4 linked regions of the Saccharomyces cerevisiae S288C genome follow. The protein of the gene in region 3 interacts with the protein of the main gene of each other region in a biochemical or structural test. Each region holds a gene or a part of one and is shown on either strand. Other genes may lie near its edges.

Region 1 (5,511 bases), on a different chromosome or scaffold from region 3:
GTTCTGACTATCCGAGAAGCGCACAGCAACATAACACCACCTTCTTTTAGTCTTTTAGCGAAAAAGTAGGAAGGCTCTGCACTCCATCGTTTTTACCATTCCTACACGTTATAAGGACTCAGACAGGCGGCGTAGTTAAAATAAATTAACACCGAGTCTTGAACATGTAATTTCTTTAGGTTCATTGAAGAGATAATTATAACTTTCCTGCCCACAAGTCCTCTGATTTACATTCGAACGAGGCTCATTAACGTAGTGAAAACTGTTCATAACGCAATCTCTTATGAAAACCATGCGGTGAATTCCTTTTGACAGGTTCTCTATGATACTATCGACGCCTCTCAAATATCAATGCGTATTACTGCATCAGCAAAGCTCCGTCATCTACATCTAGGCCGGGGCATCTTTCGCAGCGAAATCTTTACGGTGGCAAAAAATAAAGAAAAGTGAATATTGAACACCAATTACAAGAAAAGGGAGCACCTGTCAATCGAATAAAAAAGAACAAACTTCGGGCACGTCTTTTAAATAGGTTCATATACAATACTAAGAAAGATATATTAAGAAATGGATATTATTCTGGGCATCCGTGTACAGGATTCTGTCATTCTAGCGTCTTCTAAGGCAGTCACAAGAGGTATTTCTGTTTTAAAAGATTCTGATGATAAAACGAGACAATTATCGCCACATACATTGATGAGTTTTGCCGGTGAAGCTGGTGACACCGTTCAATTCGCCGAGTACATTCAAGCCAATATCCAATTATACTCCATTAGAGAAGATTATGAGCTCTCTCCACAAGCAGTATCTAGTTTTGTTAGGCAAGAATTAGCCAAGTCAATTAGGTCGAGAAGACCATACCAAGTCAACGTATTGATTGGAGGCTATGACAAAAAGAAGAACAAACCGGAACTATATCAAATTGACTACTTGGGTACTAAAGTCGAATTACCCTATGGTGCTCATGGTTACTCGGGGTTTTACACATTCTCTTTACTAGATCATCATTATAGACCTGATATGACTACTGAGGAGGGTTTAGATTTATTAAAACTATGTGTACAAGAGCTTGAAAAAAGAATGCCAATGGACTTCAAGGGCGTCATTGTTAAAATCGTGGATAAAGATGGCATAAGACAAGTAGATGACTTCCAGGCACAGTGAAAGATATTCAGTGTAATCACACGGAAAAGGTGATTGCTAATGATATACTAAAGTAATTATCTTCCTCGTTCATAAAATTAAATAAAGTTATTATAGTTTTTTCATCCGTTATAATAGCAAATGTATCAGAAATAAGACAATTTCTCATTTTTTGTTGGCAGAGTGAGATATCATCTGATCTATTGCAAATGAATCCCAATCAATGCTGATACCGCTTCGTTATAACCAATTCGAAAAGTTGTAATTATGTTACCCGCATGAGAATATTTTGAAGAAGCAATGTAGGGCTACGATAGTACTTTTGAGATGGTTTATTACTTGTTCAAATGCTGTCATCTCATGTTGTTAATGCGCTATATTTCGCACTACGAAGCTAATTTTCAACATAGGTAACACAAAGATATTAGAGATGTCTGATATATCGAAACTCATAGGAGCTATTGTGGGATCTGATGACCCCGTTATCATTGAATTTGTGCTGAATATCATAAATAAATCCGGCAATTTACAAGAGTTTATACGAAATATTCAAAAATTGGATGCCGGTATATCCTACGAAGACAGTATTAAGATGTATAATGCATTTTTAGGAAAGCAGGAAGAAGAAAAGGTACGAAATAAAGTTAAAAGTTCACCGTTAAGTCAAAAAATTAATCAGGTACTGAAAGATGACGTTAATTTGGACGACCCTGTTGTGACTGAATTCGTCCTGAGCATTTTGAATAAATCTAAATCAATAACTGAGTTCCAGGAACAACTGAACTTGATGCAAAGCGGACTCGATAATGAAACAATTTTCAAGATATATCAAATTGCATCACCACCAGTAATGAAAGAAGAAGTCTCAGTTCTTCCAAGCACCAAGATACCAGCAAAGATAGAAGCAAAGATTGAAGAAGAGGTACAAAAAATAGAAAGTTTAGACCCCAGCCCTGTCCTTCACAAAGTTTATGAAGGTAAAGTGAGAAACATAACTACTTTTGGGTGTTTCGTCCAAATTTTTGGGACGCGAATGAAGAATTGTGATGGCTTAGTTCATATTTCAGAAATGTCAGACCAAAGAACATTAGATCCACATGATGTGGTGAGACAAGGCCAACATATCTTTGTCGAAGTGATAAAAATACAAAATAATGGAAAAATATCGCTCTCCATGAAAAATATTGATCAACATAGTGGAGAAATCCGGAAAAGAAATACTGAAAGTGTCGAAGATAGAGGTAGGTCCAACGATGCTCATACAAGCAGAAATATGAAAAACAAAATTAAAAGGCGTGCTTTGACTTCACCAGAAAGATGGGAAATTCGCCAACTAATTGCCAGCGGTGCTGCTTCCATCGATGACTATCCTGAATTGAAGGATGAAATACCCATAAATACTTCCTATTTGACCGCGAAAAGAGATGACGGCAGTATCGTTAACGGTAATACAGAGAAAGTGGACTCAAAATTGGAAGAACAACAACGAGACGAGACGGATGAAATTGATGTCGAGCTGAATACAGATGATGGGCCCAAATTTTTAAAGGATCAGCAAGTCAAGGGGGCCAAGAAATATGAAATGCCTAAAATTACAAAAGTCCCGAGAGGATTTATGAATCGTTCAGCAATCAACGGCTCTAATGCAATACGAGATCATAGAGAAGAAAAGTTAAGGAAAAAAAGAGAGATTGAACAACAGATTAGGAAACAACAGTCGTTTGATGATCCTACGAAAAACAAAAAAGATTCCAGGAACGAAATTCAAATGTTGAAAAACCAGCTGATTGTTACTGAATGGGAAAAAAATAGAATGAATGAATCTATCTCGTATGGCAAAAGAACTTCCTTACCAATCAGTGCACAGCGTCAAACTTTGCCTGTATACGCGATGAGGTCTGAATTGATACAGGCTGTGCGTGACAATCAATTTCTGGTCATTGTTGGTGAGACAGGTTCGGGTAAAACCACTCAAATTACTCAGTATTTAGATGAAGAAGGGTTTAGTAACTATGGGATGATCGGATGTACCCAACCTCGTAGGGTTGCCGCTGTATCCGTTGCTAAAAGAGTGGCTGAAGAAGTTGGCTGCAAAGTTGGCCATGACGTTGGCTATACCATTAGATTTGAAGATGTTACTGGCCCAGATACCAGAATAAAATATATGACTGATGGTATGTTACAGAGAGAGGCGTTGTTAGATCCCGAGATGTCAAAATATTCAGTTATCATGTTAGATGAAGCTCACGAAAGAACTGTGGCAACTGATGTTTTATTTGCGTTGTTAAAGAAAGCGGCTATTAAAAGGCCAGAATTAAAAGTAATAGTTACATCGGCTACTTTGAACTCTGCTAAATTTTCTGAGTACTTTTTAAATTGTCCGATTATCAATATACCTGGTAAAACTTTTCCCGTGGAAGTACTCTACTCACAGACGCCCCAAATGGATTACATAGAGGCAGCTTTGGATTGTGTAATAGACATCCATATTAATGAAGGCCCAGGCGATATTTTAGTCTTTTTGACTGGACAGGAAGAAATAGACTCATGCTGTGAAATTTTATATGATAGGGTGAAAACTTTAGGTGACAGCATCGGCGAATTACTGATTTTGCCCGTTTATTCTGCTTTGCCAAGTGAAATCCAATCGAAAATTTTTGAACCCACTCCAAAGGGCAGTCGAAAAGTCGTATTTGCCACAAATATTGCGGAAACTTCAATCACTATTGATGGAATTTATTATGTCGTGGACCCTGGATTTGCAAAAATCAACATTTATAATGCAAGAGCAGGTATCGAGCAGTTGATAGTGTCTCCAATCTCTCAGGCACAGGCAAATCAAAGAAAAGGTAGAGCTGGAAGAACAGGCCCTGGAAAATGCTATCGACTTTATACAGAATCCGCATTTTACAATGAAATGTTAGAAAACACGGTTCCAGAAATTCAAAGGCAGAATCTTTCTCATACTATTTTGATGCTAAAGGCCATGGGAATTAATGATTTATTGAAATTTGACTTCATGGATCCCCCTCCCAAAAATTTAATGCTTAACGCACTGACAGAATTATACCACCTGCAGTCACTAGATGACGAGGGAAAACTAACAAATTTAGGTAAAGAGATGTCCTTATTTCCAATGGATCCCACTCTATCACGCTCTTTATTGTCATCTGTTGATAATCAGTGCTCGGATGAAATTGTTACTATAATCTCAATGTTGTCAGTACAGAACGTTTTTTATCGTCCAAAAGATAGGCAATTGGAAGCAGATAGCAAGAAGGCAAAGTTTCATCATCCATACGGTGACCATTTAACATTATTGAACGTTTATACTAGATGGCAGCAGGCAAATTACTCGGAGCAGTATTGCAAAACAAACTTTCTGCATTTTAGACATTTGAAAAGAGCAAGAGATGTTAAAAGCCAAATTAGCATGATATTTAAAAAGATAGGCTTAAAGTTAATAAGCTGTCATAGTGATCCTGATTTAATTCGTAAAACTTTCGTGTCAGGGTTCTTCATGAACGCTGCTAAGCGAGACTCACAGGTAGGTTATAAAACCATCAATGGTGGTACAGAGGTTGGAATACATCCCTCGAGTTCATTGTACGGAAAAGAGTATGAATACGTAATGTATCATAGTATCGTATTAACTAGCCGGGAATACATGTCGCAGGTAACATCCATTGAGCCCCAATGGCTTCTCGAAGTAGCGCCTCATTTTTATAAAGCTGGAGATGCTGAAAGCCAGTCTAGGAAGAAAGCGAAAATCATTCCTTTGCATAACAAGTTTGCCAAGGATCAAAATTCATGGAGACTAAGCTCAATAAGGCAGTCAAGGGAAAGGGCATTAGGTATCAAGAGGTAACATTGTTAGCTTTTTATGCATTATAATTATCGAGTTTTATAGACCTATATTTAATTTTTTAACAACTTTATCTCTCTTGAGAATTTTTACATGAAAAAAATCACAGAGTAACGCTAACCTTTCTTTAATTGAAAGCTGCCATTGCTCGTTTAGTTACAAAACGCCTTTGAACTTGCCTTCGACACTTTGTTGCTTCGGAGTCGCGGAGTATTCAAAAAAAGAAATAGTATAATAGAGAGAACAATAGAGATATTCGCGAAGAACACCAATTCAAACATATCGAGTAAAGTGCAATTGAGAACGCCAAAAAGAGCTTGTATAATGTTATTACCATTAACAAAGCTAAAACCGAGAGCAAAAGTTGCTGTTGTAGGGGGTGGCGTTTCTGGACTATGTTTTACTTATTTTTTAAGCAAGTTGAGACCGGATGTTGAAATCACACTGTTCGAATCGCAGAACAGAACTGGGGGTTGGATATATTCTTGTAACACAAGAGATAT
Region 2 (4,145 bases), on a different chromosome or scaffold from region 3:
CACCTTTCGATCTGCCCGGCGATGTAACACCAGCACCCCTTTGATCAAACGTAAATGACTCGTAACCATTGAGTGATAAGTGGTCCATAAGCCGGAATTGAATCTTTGTGTACTCGCCAAACCCATGAATCAGTAAAACTCTACCTCTGACCTCATTGGTGCCATTTTGAACAGGCCAGAACATGTACCCGAACTTAGCACCATCAAAGTTTTCGTATTGAAGTTCAGGTACTGTCGTCTGCACTTTGTATGGATACGGAGCCATGCTTTTCTATTTGTCCTCGGTTTGTGTGGCTTTGGCTTGCTTTAGTCAACAATGGCTTTTCCGATATGTATTCATTTATAAGAAAATTCAATGAAAAAACGGCCAGACACTTCGAAGTCCGAAGGGGCTGTCGCCCCTCGTAAGTAGCGATGGACGCTATAGTGTGGAAGCAACCACAGTAGCACAGCATCACAAGAGATCATGATACCAATCGTACGTTCCTTACTTTTCTAGGTCATTTGAGAGACTTTCCTCGTTTTATAACTATCCCTAACGGATTCGTACGCACAGAGCTTTTCTTCTGTATTTTTCCCTTAGTGGATGTAGGATTAAACAACGGAGTTCTCTTCTCATCGTTGTTATTGCCAGGTTTATTGGTACGCTGCCTGTGATTGTCAAATACCTGATCTACGAGGTTGTCCAGATCATCAGTCGTTACTGCTTTTTCTTGTTGTGCGTGTTTGCTGCGGTTTATCATTTCAGCTCTCTGGCTCATTTCAAGGTTTTTTTTCCTTAAATTTTCAAGTTCCTCATCATCCTCTTGCTCTTGTTGAATTTTGGCTAGTCTTTTTTCCAGCAAATCCATTTTGTCATCTGCTTGCTCCTTTATACCCATCTTCTCGTTCTGCTCCATTTCCTTCTCTCTCACTAAGCGTTGCAGTGTCTCGTCTATGCTTTCGACAGCTGTTTTAGCGTTCAGGTCATCATTTGGTTTCTGAGGGACATAGTTTCTTACGCCCCCCACTTCCATTACATAATCTGAATTACCGGGGTCTGTTCTAAATGCAATGGAATTGGCACAACGTGGACATGAAATGGTTAGTCTATATATCTTAATGGAGTCCAGGTACTTCTCCTTCAGTAGCTCTTTCTTACCATTGAATTTTCTGCTTTTGGGAATATATTCGTTACATTCCAAACACCTCATACTAAATGGGGTCATTAATCTAATCGATGCGTGGCTCTTATTCATGGTTTTCAGTTTTTTAGCCATTTTCCTGGATAGCTTTTCAGCTTCCAGTGGGTTGTAATCCGGTGGATAGTACTTGTTAATAGCTTTTCTTTCAGACATTCTTGTATTCTCCTATCAGCCTGGAAACGGTTAATTTGGTTTGACTTATTAGTTCGTTCTACTGAGGTCACCGTAGTGATTTCTTGCTTTTTTTCGAATATGTACAATAAATAACAACTCTATGCGTATTAGCAGTCAGTGGAACAAACTTGAGATAGCTACTCTTATCTCCTTTTCTGTATATCCATCTTTCTACATGCAGCAGAGAAACCGCCGGCGGGACATTCACCTACTTTTCTACAAGTTTAAATTTTTCAAGCGAATCGGGGAATGTGAGAGCTGCATGCAAGAAAAGGAATGTAGGTAGGAGGACAATGTAAGAGAATATTATGGGCCATTTCATATTACATTACGCTATATGTAAGTGATCATTATGTAGAAAGCTATATTGAAGGAAATAAAACATGCAGGTTTTGTTCTCGTACTTACAACAAGTAAGCAGCTGCGACCGCTAGAGCACCAGCACCCATGCCGACGGCAGCCTTGGCACCTGCATTTTCTGTTTGTTCGTAAACTGTGTTTGGAGCTTGGATTTGTCCATCAGTAATTTGAGAGATAACTGAAGCAGTTGGGGAGCTAGCAGAGGAAGTTTCCACAGTAGTAGAGGTCTCGACAGATTCTATACTCGAACTATGCTTTGTAGAAGATGATGCGGAAGCAGACGAAGCAGAAGCAGATGAAGAGGAACTAGAGTCGCTTGGAGAAAAATCTGCTGCAACAGATCCGCTCTTACTAGTTGGTCTAATCGCAACACCGGTAGCGTCGTCGGATTGCTTAGAAGAGAAAATGTAAGACGACCCGTCCTTGATAGCGTAGAAACCAGAAGAGCTCTTGTAGTTTAGATGGCCATCTTTAATAGAAAAACCAGTGGCAGCATCGCTCTCAGAACCTTCTTTGAATGAGCCATCCTCATTGACAACAGCATACTTATCGTCGTCAAATTTCAGTTTACCGTCATCGGTAATAGTTGCCTCAAATGAGCCACTACCGCTGCCAAGTTTCAAAGTGCCGTTATCACTGTAAACACTCAAGTATTGTAAATCCGAGCCGGAACGGATACTCACCAGGCCGAATTCTTCGGAATCGGCAATGACCATCTTAGCCAAGGCGAATAAAGCGACAGACAAAGCAGTGGAGAATTTCATTATTGTTTTTTGAGACTTTCGTAGTATTTATTAGTTTGTTACGGGATATTTTACTTCAGACAGAAAAAAAATTCAAGGAAGATAGCGAAAGAAAGAAACGTTAAGATCGTCCTTTAAATAATTGAGATTTTGTTTGTTTGCTTTTTTTTTTTCTGCACCACAAATTATCAAAATTAAAAGGTGAAAAAACACTACATTGAACGTGAACCACAGAGCTTATTGTTTGTTGTTTTTTTTGTTTTCTTTTGTGGCACCTTCGAGATGGCTCTCCTGGAGTAAGTTACCGTTGTGGGACAACCCGCACGCACAGACGTAAGCGGACCCGTATTCCAATCGGGCCGAAGGGCCCTTTTCGTTCAGGGAGCTGTGGCTAACGCTATTTTTAGTTATGACGTACGGTGCGGCACCATCTATAACGCGAAGAAGTACTTTTTTTAGCTCTCTTTTTTTGTTTTCGCGGGAGGGGTTTGTTTATTATGATATTTTAACGGGATAGAAGGTCGAGCACACAATGTTTGCCGTCAAGAGGGGTATCTGCTTCTATATTCGTAACTTTCCAGATGTCCGATTTTTTTTTTCATTATTACCTCGAGCTACGATTCGGTACACATACATTCTTATTTTGAAACTTGTTCACCATATCTTTGCAAAAATTAATGAGATTCCAATGTTATGTATGGGTGAAGTATAAGACGTGGTTGCAGCATCCCTTAGTATTTGTCTAGTGGGGTTCTTCACTACTTACTCTTGAAGCATAAAAAAGAAAACAAGGCTAGCTCTAAAGCATCGTAGATGAATCTCATTAAGAAAATTCAGCATGTGCGAAGGAAGGTACAGTTTTAAAGTCGCATCAATGCCCATAATAAAGGGATTAATGGCACTGTGCTAAAATGTGCCAGGTCATGAAAATTTCATAGCGCATTGGCAAGCGACTTTAGCGCGCGCCAACGTGATATTTCTTGTAAGTTCAAATCCATCCGAGGGGCAATTGTAGTGAGGACAAAAGTTCATTGAGTTCTAGATTATTATTTTGTCACACGTCTCCCTTGAATTTGTAAAATATTTTATAAGTGGAAGTAAAGTATAGAAAATGGCAGAAAAAAAAGATCCCACCGTAGCACACCAATATCTTTCCCACTTTCTTTTGAACAGGTAACAGATAACGAAGATGGTAAAAAGATAAAGGGAAGAACGGTCAGCACTTTCGCCTATGTTTTTCACGCCTTGACTCTTTAATCGCAGCTAAGGGCGAAATTCTTTATGCACACTGGTCTGTTGAAACAAGCATGCATGTTTTTTTCACCTTAGGGGCGCAGGAAACATTGTGCATAGCCAAGATCTCAGCAAACTCGAAGAAACCCAGTCTCTAATACATTCATTTCGAGTTCAAATTTTTGACTCATTCGAAGAGAAATCACAGGAACATCGTTAAAGTAAAAAGTGTTTTATTTTTATGGTATCTACCTATTCAAAATAACAAAAATTATTTAAAATTATGTGTAAAAATATATTAACGAAAAGAAAAGAATCAAACACTTACCTAGTAAAACCGAAAATTTTGAAAAAAGCCATATAGATATTATAAAAAATCAGAGATTTCTTATAACAACATAGCAGCAGCAGCTAGAGCACCGGCACCCATACCGACAGCGGCCTTAGCAGC
Region 3 (3,767 bases):
AGTTGGATGCTCAGATCTTTAAGATTAACCAGATTAATTTGAAACAAGGCAAAGTTCAAAACGAAATCGATAATCTGGAAAAGAAAAAGGAGGATTTGGTTACCCAAACTGAAGAAAATAAGAAGCTGCATGAAAAAAATGTACAAGTTTTGGAAAGTGTAGAGAACAAGGAATATCTTCCACAAATTAATGATATTGATAATCAAATATCAAGCTTATTGAACGAAGTGACCATAATCAAGCAGGAAAACGCCAATGAAAAAACTCAACTATCGGCAATTACCAAAAGACTCGAAGATGAGCGCCGCGCTCATGAAGAACAGTTGAAGCTAGAAGCTGAAGAAAGAAAACGCAAAGAAGAGAACTTATTGGAAAAACAGCGCCAAGAGCTGGAGGAACAAGCGCATCAGGCTCAATTAGATCATGAGCAGCAAATTACTCAAGTCAAGCAAACCTATAATGACCAATTGACTGAACTACAGGATAAGCTGGCAACCGAAGAGAAAGAACTGGAGGCAGTCAAGAGGGAAAGAACGCGATTACAAGCTGAAAAGGCTATCGAGGAACAAACTCGCCAGAAAAACGCTGATGAGGCCTTGAAGCAAGAAATATTGAGTAGGCAGCACAAACAAGCTGAAGGTATACACGCGGCTGAAAACCACAAAATACCAAATGACCGTTCACAAAAGAATACGAGCGTCCTTCCAAAGGACGATTCCTTGTATGAATATCATACTGAGGAAGACGTCATGTATGCCTAAAAAAAATAATATTCCACTTTTGTTCAAGGAATATCCCACCTCTATTTTATTTTTCTCTTCTATTCTTTGTCGAGTATCATCAAGTTATCCTTTGATTATTTTCACCCTTCCTAATCTACCTCTCTTTGTAACCGTTTTATGTACCAATATTTACTCAATCAACAATTTATCAACCAGTTAGTTATTCTCTAGTGTTTCGTGCTCAAATAACCGAGTAAGATGGACTCTCTTCTGAAGCACTTTTGCGGGCATTTAACCTCAGCTCGTCACGTGACGGTCGATGAAAAATCCAGGGTATTAAAACTTTCCTTTGGTTATATCGGTATATTCTAAATAAAAGAGAAGCTTATTCTGATCCTTTTGATTCCCTGCTCAATTTTTCATTGAATTGTTTATTTTTGTCATTAATGAAGCTTTCAACCCCATACAGTGTTTTTGCATTTTGCATTTGTCTTTTTCTTGCTTCGTATCTTTTTTTCGACTCAGATTGCAAAGAAACGGCCAACTTATTAACTAGCTTGTCGTCATCTGCAATTGTTATCTTACCCGTCTTAGTGTCCTTCTGTACCTTGCCGATTCTACCCTTCTTGGGTACGTTTTTATTGTCTTCTTCATCGGCGGAACTATCCTGTTTGCTCGAATTCTGTGTTTGCGTAGCGAGATTCCGCAAGGTCTTCTCATAACTCAATTTTGCAAGTTGATCATAGGAAATTCCACCTCTTTGGCTTTGCCCAGTCTTCCCTTGAGGATGCCTACGTTCCCACGCATCATATTCTTGGACAGTGTAATGAAATGCTTTCTCTTTTTCAGGACTTTCTGTATCTCCTACTGATTCATCTGCATCATTTACGTCTTCCATACTGTATACTCTTGGTTTTCGATTTGCGCTTACTTCCTGAATCTCTCTGTCAGCCAACTTCCTACTCTTTATAGATACATCTACTCTTTTCCTTTTCAACTCCTTCAGCTTCTCGTCTAATTTGTAAAAATCCATTCTTCGAATACTTTGACAAGATATGGTTTTGCTTCGCTTACAGTTCAATAGAGAAGTCAAACATTGTCATTGAGAGCCCCTCATCGCAAATATTGCTCTTTTAAGGAAAATATAGTAATATTCTAGCTTTTTTGTCATTCTACACGGAAATGTCTGTATTTTTCAAATTTTTTCATTATGCTGTAGCAGATGCCTGAAAAATTTGAAAACTTTGATGAGATGAGGTCACTGTTAAATTTGTAATATTATATGTCACACCTAGCGCTCCTTGAACAGCAAATCATTCCGGAGGATAGTAAAGATTCAAAATGCCATCCCTGTCTCAACCATTTAGACTAGCAACTCTCCCAAAAATTGCTTCATTGAGCAATTTTTCTTTACAAGCAGATTACGTTCAAGTCGCAGATGGCACCTTTAATGAATCTACAAATAACATAACGTTAGGTATTTCCGGGTCATCTATATCTCAATATATTATTAATCCTACACCAAAGTTAACATTCGATTACCCAATACCCTCTACAAATATTATCACGGCATGCAATGCTGAGAAAGGTCAAGCGAACATTGACGGAAATATAGAAGCCAGTACCGATGATGAAGCCAACAACGAGAAGACTATCAACACCCAAAAAAAAAGAAATGTTGAAATTTGGGCCTTTGGTTTAATGGTAAATAAGGGTAATTATACGCTAAATGTTATCACTAAGGCACTGGAAGATACCACTGATACCTCAAATGACCATCTGAGTGAGAGTGATATTGACAATAAAGCATACACGGGTTCAGACGAATTTTTATCTCAGTATAAGATCAAGGCGAAAGCCAAAGTCATGAGTATTAAAATTGACACCAAGAACAGCTTAGTAATTGCAATTTTACAGAACGGGTTGATTGAAATTTTTGATTTTAAGTTAACACTTTTGCATTCATTTGATATATCTTATGATAACTTAAAATATGCTAAATGGTTCACTGAAAATGGAACTGAATATGTTTTTGTTCTCTGTCCATTACAGGATGATAAAGTCTGCTATAAATTGCTCGAGCTAACAGATTGTGGCAGTGGAGAAAGTTCGCCCATAAAAGAATTATCATCTACTATCATCGAAGGATTTTCTTTTGAAAATTCAAAGCTTTGTTATCAATTTGGAAAACTTTACAAATTGAACCAGGGGAAAATATACATTTACTCTTTACCACATTGCCAATTGCAACAAGTTATTGAATTTCCGATGGTGGATAAACTCAGTCCTGGAGATGACTTAATCTCTTTCCAACCTGTTTCAGTAAACAGAGTTCTACTGACCGTAAACAACGTCATTTATCTACTAGACTTACTGCATTGTTCTACTTTAAGCCAAAGAGAATTAACTCACGTGAAAACATTCCAACTATTAAAATCTGCAGTGATCAATTCAGAAAAGTCGCATAATTCAAAAACAATAGCAATTGGTATTTCAACGAAAAATGGACCAAACCCAACGTCTTCCTTAGAAATAATTAATATTGATGTTGGAACTAATACGTTGAAGGACTCATTAGGCAAGAGTTTTCAAGTTGGAAATAATGATAGCTCAGTTATTTTAAAGCCGCTATTTGATGATAAAGACATAAATGACAAGAGAGTGAAATGTAACGACGTCAGCGGGGATTCAAGCGTTCCAGTCCTCCACTGTAATGAAGTTATTGAAAAGCTTTCAGCCCTTCAAGATAATGACATTACATCATTTGATGACATATTTTTCAAAGAACTAAAAATCAAAGAAGAACATTATACTGAAAAAGATAGATATATTTCTGATCCTGGCTTTTTGAATAAAGTTTTAGATCTAATTTTCGGAAAGTTTAGCGGAAATGATTATCCAAAAACTTTAACGTTTTTATTGACACACCCATTGTTTCCATTGAGTCGTACACGCAACTTGCTATCCTTACTAAGAGACCAACCTAGATTATTTAAACAAGCAATTGTAACATGCCCAAACTTGCCATTAAATGAACTACTTGAA
Region 4 (4,934 bases), on a different chromosome or scaffold from region 3:
CTGGACCGCCACCGCCACCGCCATTCTTTACAGCATCTGCACCAAACTGGTCATAAATCTTTTTCTTTTCAGGATCGCTCAATACATCGTATGCCTCGCCGACTTCAATGAATTTTTGATGGGCTTCTTCGCTCCCAGCATTTTTATCCGGATGGTACTTCTTAGACAATTGTCTGTACGCTGATTTGATTTCCTTCTCAGTGGCATCTTTGTCTATCTCTAGTATTGCATAATAATCCTGCGCCAAAATTAGCGGCAACAACAATAAAGATAGTATCAAATGTATATATAATTTTGGAATCATTGTCCTCGATCTTTTCGCCAGCCAATGCACGCTCTTCTGGCCTATCCACCATGTTTTGTCAGTACTACATCTTATTACCATCGCTGGTTTGCCGATGTGGCCAACTTGGCAAGAAAACGTTCTAACTCCGGGTAATGCGTTGTCACAAGTCCTCTATGTCCTAGTTCATAAAAGTTATATTAATGCTATACTAATGCTATATGGAAGAAGAAGAATTTAGCATGGCTTGAAGACGCTTTCTACGACCCTCAAGCGATCGTATCTCTTGTCGGTAGGCGTAGTAATCAGCGTAGTACTTGCGTTGCCCTTCAATCAAAGCGGGCAGGCTGTGATGGCAGAGGGTACTGCACATCTCGTTATTCTGTTGTTCCAGTGGTTGCACATGTTGTAGTTTACGCTGTAACTGTTCAATAGACTCCACTTTTGATTGGATCGATTCCAGAAGAACCTCAGTTGGGGGCATTGCTGTTTTGAATTGTATTTTCATGGAAGTGCGCCCTTGGGTTATATGCTGCATACGCGACTCCACCTCTTTGAGAAAATCTACCGTATCTTCTGGTACCATGTGAGGTTCTTTGTTTATGGCGTTCGCGACTAGCAAGTTGTACTTATTGTCAATCGCGGACTGCGGATTGTTTTTGAATTCTGGTATGGGTAGCGTTGAGTAAGCTAATGGAACGGCTACTAATGAGACGCGTGGCGCATCATTTTGAGATGGTGGTTCTATGAAGTTGTCCTCTTCATTCATCGCTCTTTCATTTTCAAATTCTTTCTCGTATTCCGCTATCTCTGCATCTTCTTCTTTCTCGTCTTCACTTAATACAATTTCGAAATCGTTCTTGGGACTAGGCAAAGATGCGAACATTTGCACTAAAAATTTTCGTATGCGTGATTTTAGCTGTTTACCACTCTTTATATTACTGCGTTCATTATCTTCTTGGCCGGAGTCGTGGGGTAGTAGTTCTTTTGGTGTCAACACAGTGCCAGTTGCTTGTGCCTCGATTAGTTTTTGTCTTTTGCTTTCTAGCTTTTTTTTATAGGTGACTTTTCCCTGTTTCGTTCCTGGTGCAGATAGTATAAGTTTTGGTTTTTTATACTCATCCGTCAATGTAGTAGATTCACCCAGTGCTGCTTTCTCAACGTGTTCGTTCTCATCGTGTTTTCTTTTTTTGTCCTTATTTTTTTTACTTGGCTTATCCTTATTACCATCCAAACCTTTTCTGTTGACTTTTCTCTCAAACTGCTCAAACTTCTTTTTTATCTGGCGGTCTTCAGTGGACGTGTCATATATACCTGGCATGGGAGCTTGTTCATATACTATATCTTCATTGTAATCAATGTCGGTGCCGTATTTTTTTTTCGGTTTCTTAATGGCAACATTAATTCCTGCTTGCTTTAGCTCACGCCTCTTTTGTAGTTCAGCAATGCGTTTTGATTCTTCGAGCATCCGCTCTCTAATCTTTCTTGTAGCCTTCTTACCTTGGGTATTTAACAGACGAGCCCTAGCTTCAGCAAGCATTTCCTTTTCCTCATCTTCCAAATCACCATTATCTGGTCTAGCCATTTGAGTTTCAGCGTTAGGATTAATATCCCCGGCTTTCAAGTCAGTAACTCCTGTACTTAACGCAGCCCCTCCACTGTCTTCACTTTCTAATAGCCTATTATATCTTTCGACGCAGACCTGTGCAGGCCTGGCCATCATATCAGCTATGGTCCTCCACTGATTAGGCAGCTCTCTTGCAAGATCTAGAAGTTGGGCATCCTCCTCCTTCGAGAACTCTGTAAAATTCAACTTTGGATTTAAATATTCATTCCACCTTAATTCACTCTGCCTGGCAGTCTTTTTCTGCAAAAGGGATGCTACTTTGCTCCACTGATGAGTTCCGTATTTTTGTACAGCCGCTTTAAGAATCTGATCCTCCACATTGGTCCATACACCGCCTTTCACGTATATTGGTACGGGGGGCATCTTGAAATGCTAGTATAGTCCTCTTAGAAATGTTTTGCTTTTTTTCTTTACTATCTTCCTGAGTCGCATATGCTTTTTTGTCATAATAGTTCATAGCATTAATTTTTCATTAAACTTCAACCCCGGCCAAAGGAAGAGGAAGAAAATTTTGTTCGAACTACTAGGAAGGTAATGGTTTTGTTGAAAAAGCCAGGCAGCCAGGATAAATTGAAAGTATTGTGAGCAACCCCGCTATTGGAGTAGTATTAATTCAGTGGCAGACTGTATATTGAACCCAGATCATTCGCTCTATTATTCATCTTTCGTTCATTTTCAATTGTTCTGAAAGTGGTTTGCGATGCAGTTGTCTATGCGGATGATGTTCACACCAAAACATCAGAAACTGGTCAATCAATGTTATCCTACGGGAAGGACCACAGATAAGAAGCCTAAATCTTCGGAAACTTCATATTTGCTATATTACGTTAACTCGAGGCGTAGTAAATTGGAGAAAGTTAGCACTTACCTGATTAAGCGTTCCACTTCCGACTTGAACCATCGGCGCATAGGGAACATAGCCGTTACATTGGATTTAATGAACAAAATTGTGTTGCATTGTAAGGAGAATTTGAATGTATTTGTTAAAGATTTTTTGTACATTATGAACAAAGTTCTTTCCAACAACAATTTTAACAATGATGTATCTGTTGTTGAATTAATAGAACTGGCATTTAGTAGTATATGCCAGAACTTGGACGACGTCTTGTGTAACGGTGACATGGAATTCGTCCAGTTATACCAGAACTTTGTTGATCTTTTTTTTAAAATAGTTACTGAAAGAATTCATAATGATGACATGCTTCTGAAATGCTGTATTGATATATCAAACACAAATAGTGTTTCAAGCAACCCACAACTAAACCACTTTGTTTCCAAGTCTGTTGCCTATACTATTTCAAAGTTCCAAGAGAGAAATCCGAAATTTAAAACTTTGTCGCTGGAAGCAGCTCTGGAGAGCAATTTAGGAAAAAGGCTAAGTCGAACACAAACTCGTACAATTGGGTTAGATAAGGCCGCCGAAGATAATCATGACCTTTCAGTAAAAGCATTGCAATCCTATTTTAACACAACTGAGACAGACAAATTGAATTTGTCTATTCGTACTCTGTTGCGCTGTCTGCAAAGTACACCTAATAAGGAACTGCTAGAGTTTGTATGCAATGGTATACCTGTTCAGTTACGATATATTGTTATACTTCTTTTGGTCAGACAACTAAGCGACAAGGATAAAAATGTAAATCCAATTGTTTCCTTGAAATTGATGTCGTCATTACTTGTTTCAGATGTCAGTATAGTGGGGTTGAGTGTTCTTGATATAATGAGAAAGCTTTTAAATTTCCAGTTGAAAAATGCAACTAATAAAGAAGTTGTGGCACAGTCTTGTATCACCATGACAGACCTTAACCATAAAACTTATTACGCTGAACAGACCTCAGATATGTTATATGAACTACTATTGAAATTGAAAAGTGACACCGTCAAGGATGTTGAAAAGAATGCAGTTGTGGAAGATATTGATTTCCTCGTTGAACATATTACGCAGCCAAGTATCAGTTTGGAATTATTCATCGACTTGGCGCATTACATGAAAAACCACATTATATGTTTATTTAACATTGTTGAAACTGAGGTTCCAAGCAGCATTCTCTTTTCAAAACTGTACTCATTATTACGTGAACTGGATTCACATGGTGTGCAAAAAGAAATGATGGAAGAGATCTTTGACAAGTATGGAAAAATGGCACTATTATCCGGTTTGAATTATTTTCTAGAGAACGTTTCTGAGCCTGAGTATACCTATTATTCGTACCATTTACAAGCAGCTAACTTTTTAAAACTCAATGACTACAAGTCACAAACTGAGTACAAAATGCAAACTAGAACTTTGTTTACCAAGGAAGATTTATTGTCATACTATTCTGATACTGGATCAAATAAATACAGCAAGAAGGGGGCGCAGATTTTATTGTCTCGTGATAATCAAATTTCTACTTCTGATTTACTGTCGGACTCTCAAGTTCGTACTACACCTCTGGAGTACAAGAATGTCCCTAATGCTATTTTTTCAAATGGGAAAGCAGTGTATGATAACAACGATTTTGCGGCCAAGCAAAATAAATTCGACAACAGCATAGATGACAATATAGAAGAAGCTAACGATACTGTAATTTCTGATGCTAATGCAAAAGGTAGTATCTATAGGTTTGTTGCTGAGGACGCAAGATCATGGAAAACAATGAGAGCCACCGCACCAAAAGTTAGCGATTTGAAAAAAACTATGAATGAAAAGAATATTCCAAATAATATGAAAAGAGATGGCTCTTTTCGGGGTTCTCAATCAGTGAAATCTCGTGTCACTAATATCACATTTTTATTAAATGAATTGAAAACTTTTTCAGATGACGCGAATAAAATCAAAGATCCTGATGAGGAGAATATTGTTGGCTTGGATAAAATCGACGTTGCTAGATCAAATTCTCTGCGACTTGCACCAATATCTAGTCTTTCTGATCGCAGTAGCATTGGAAATAGAAAATCCTTTTTGCAAAAAACAGCAACTGGTGAAAATCAAAACGATGACTTTAAAGACGCAAATGAAGATTTACATTCTTTAAGTTCAAG

Evidence for each region.
Region 1: the proteins of SYF2 (region 3) and PRP22 form a complex in vitro, tested with the Saccharomyces cerevisiae proteins (one study listed by BioGRID).
Region 2: the proteins of SYF2 (region 3) and YJU2 form a complex in vitro, tested with the Saccharomyces cerevisiae proteins (one study listed by BioGRID).
Region 4: the proteins of SYF2 (region 3) and CEF1 form a complex in vitro, tested with the Saccharomyces cerevisiae proteins (one study listed by BioGRID).

The regions. Positions count from the first base shown.
Region 1 is NC_001137.3:177,268-182,778, forward strand, and holds PRP22 (DEAH-box ATP-dependent RNA helicase PRP22), read left to right. Parts: upstream 1-1,573; coding exon 1,574-5,011; downstream 5,012-5,511. Other genes in the region: PRE1 (proteasome core particle subunit beta 4), read left to right, coding at 568-1,164; HEM14 (oxygen-dependent protoporphyrinogen oxidase), read left to right, coding at 5,333-5,511.
Region 2 is NC_001143.9:259,469-263,613, reverse strand, and holds YJU2 (mRNA splicing protein YJU2), read right to left. Parts: upstream 1,338-4,145; coding exon 501-1,337; downstream 1-500. Other genes in the region: YJU3 (acylglycerol lipase), read right to left, coding at 1-265; CWP1 (Cwp1p), read right to left, coding at 1,763-2,482; CWP2 (Cwp2p), read right to left, coding at 4,083-4,145. UniProt on the Saccharomyces cerevisiae protein: Part of the spliceosome which catalyzes two sequential transesterification reactions, first the excision of the non-coding intron from pre-mRNA and then the ligation of the coding exons to form the mature mRNA.
Region 3 is NC_001139.9:748,388-752,154, reverse strand, and holds SYF2 (Syf2p), read right to left. Parts: upstream 1,756-3,767; coding exon 1,108-1,755; downstream 1-1,107. Other genes in the region: YGR130C (uncharacterized protein), read left to right, coding at 1-761; UTP8 (Utp8p), read left to right, coding at 2,064-3,767.
Region 4 is NC_001145.3:690,720-695,653, reverse strand, and holds CEF1 (Cef1p), read right to left. Parts: upstream 2,274-4,934; coding exon 501-2,273; downstream 1-500. Other genes in the region: SCJ1 (Scj1p), read right to left, coding at 1-304; EFR3 (Efr3p), read left to right, coding at 2,611-4,934. UniProt on the Saccharomyces cerevisiae protein: Involved in pre-mRNA splicing and cell cycle control.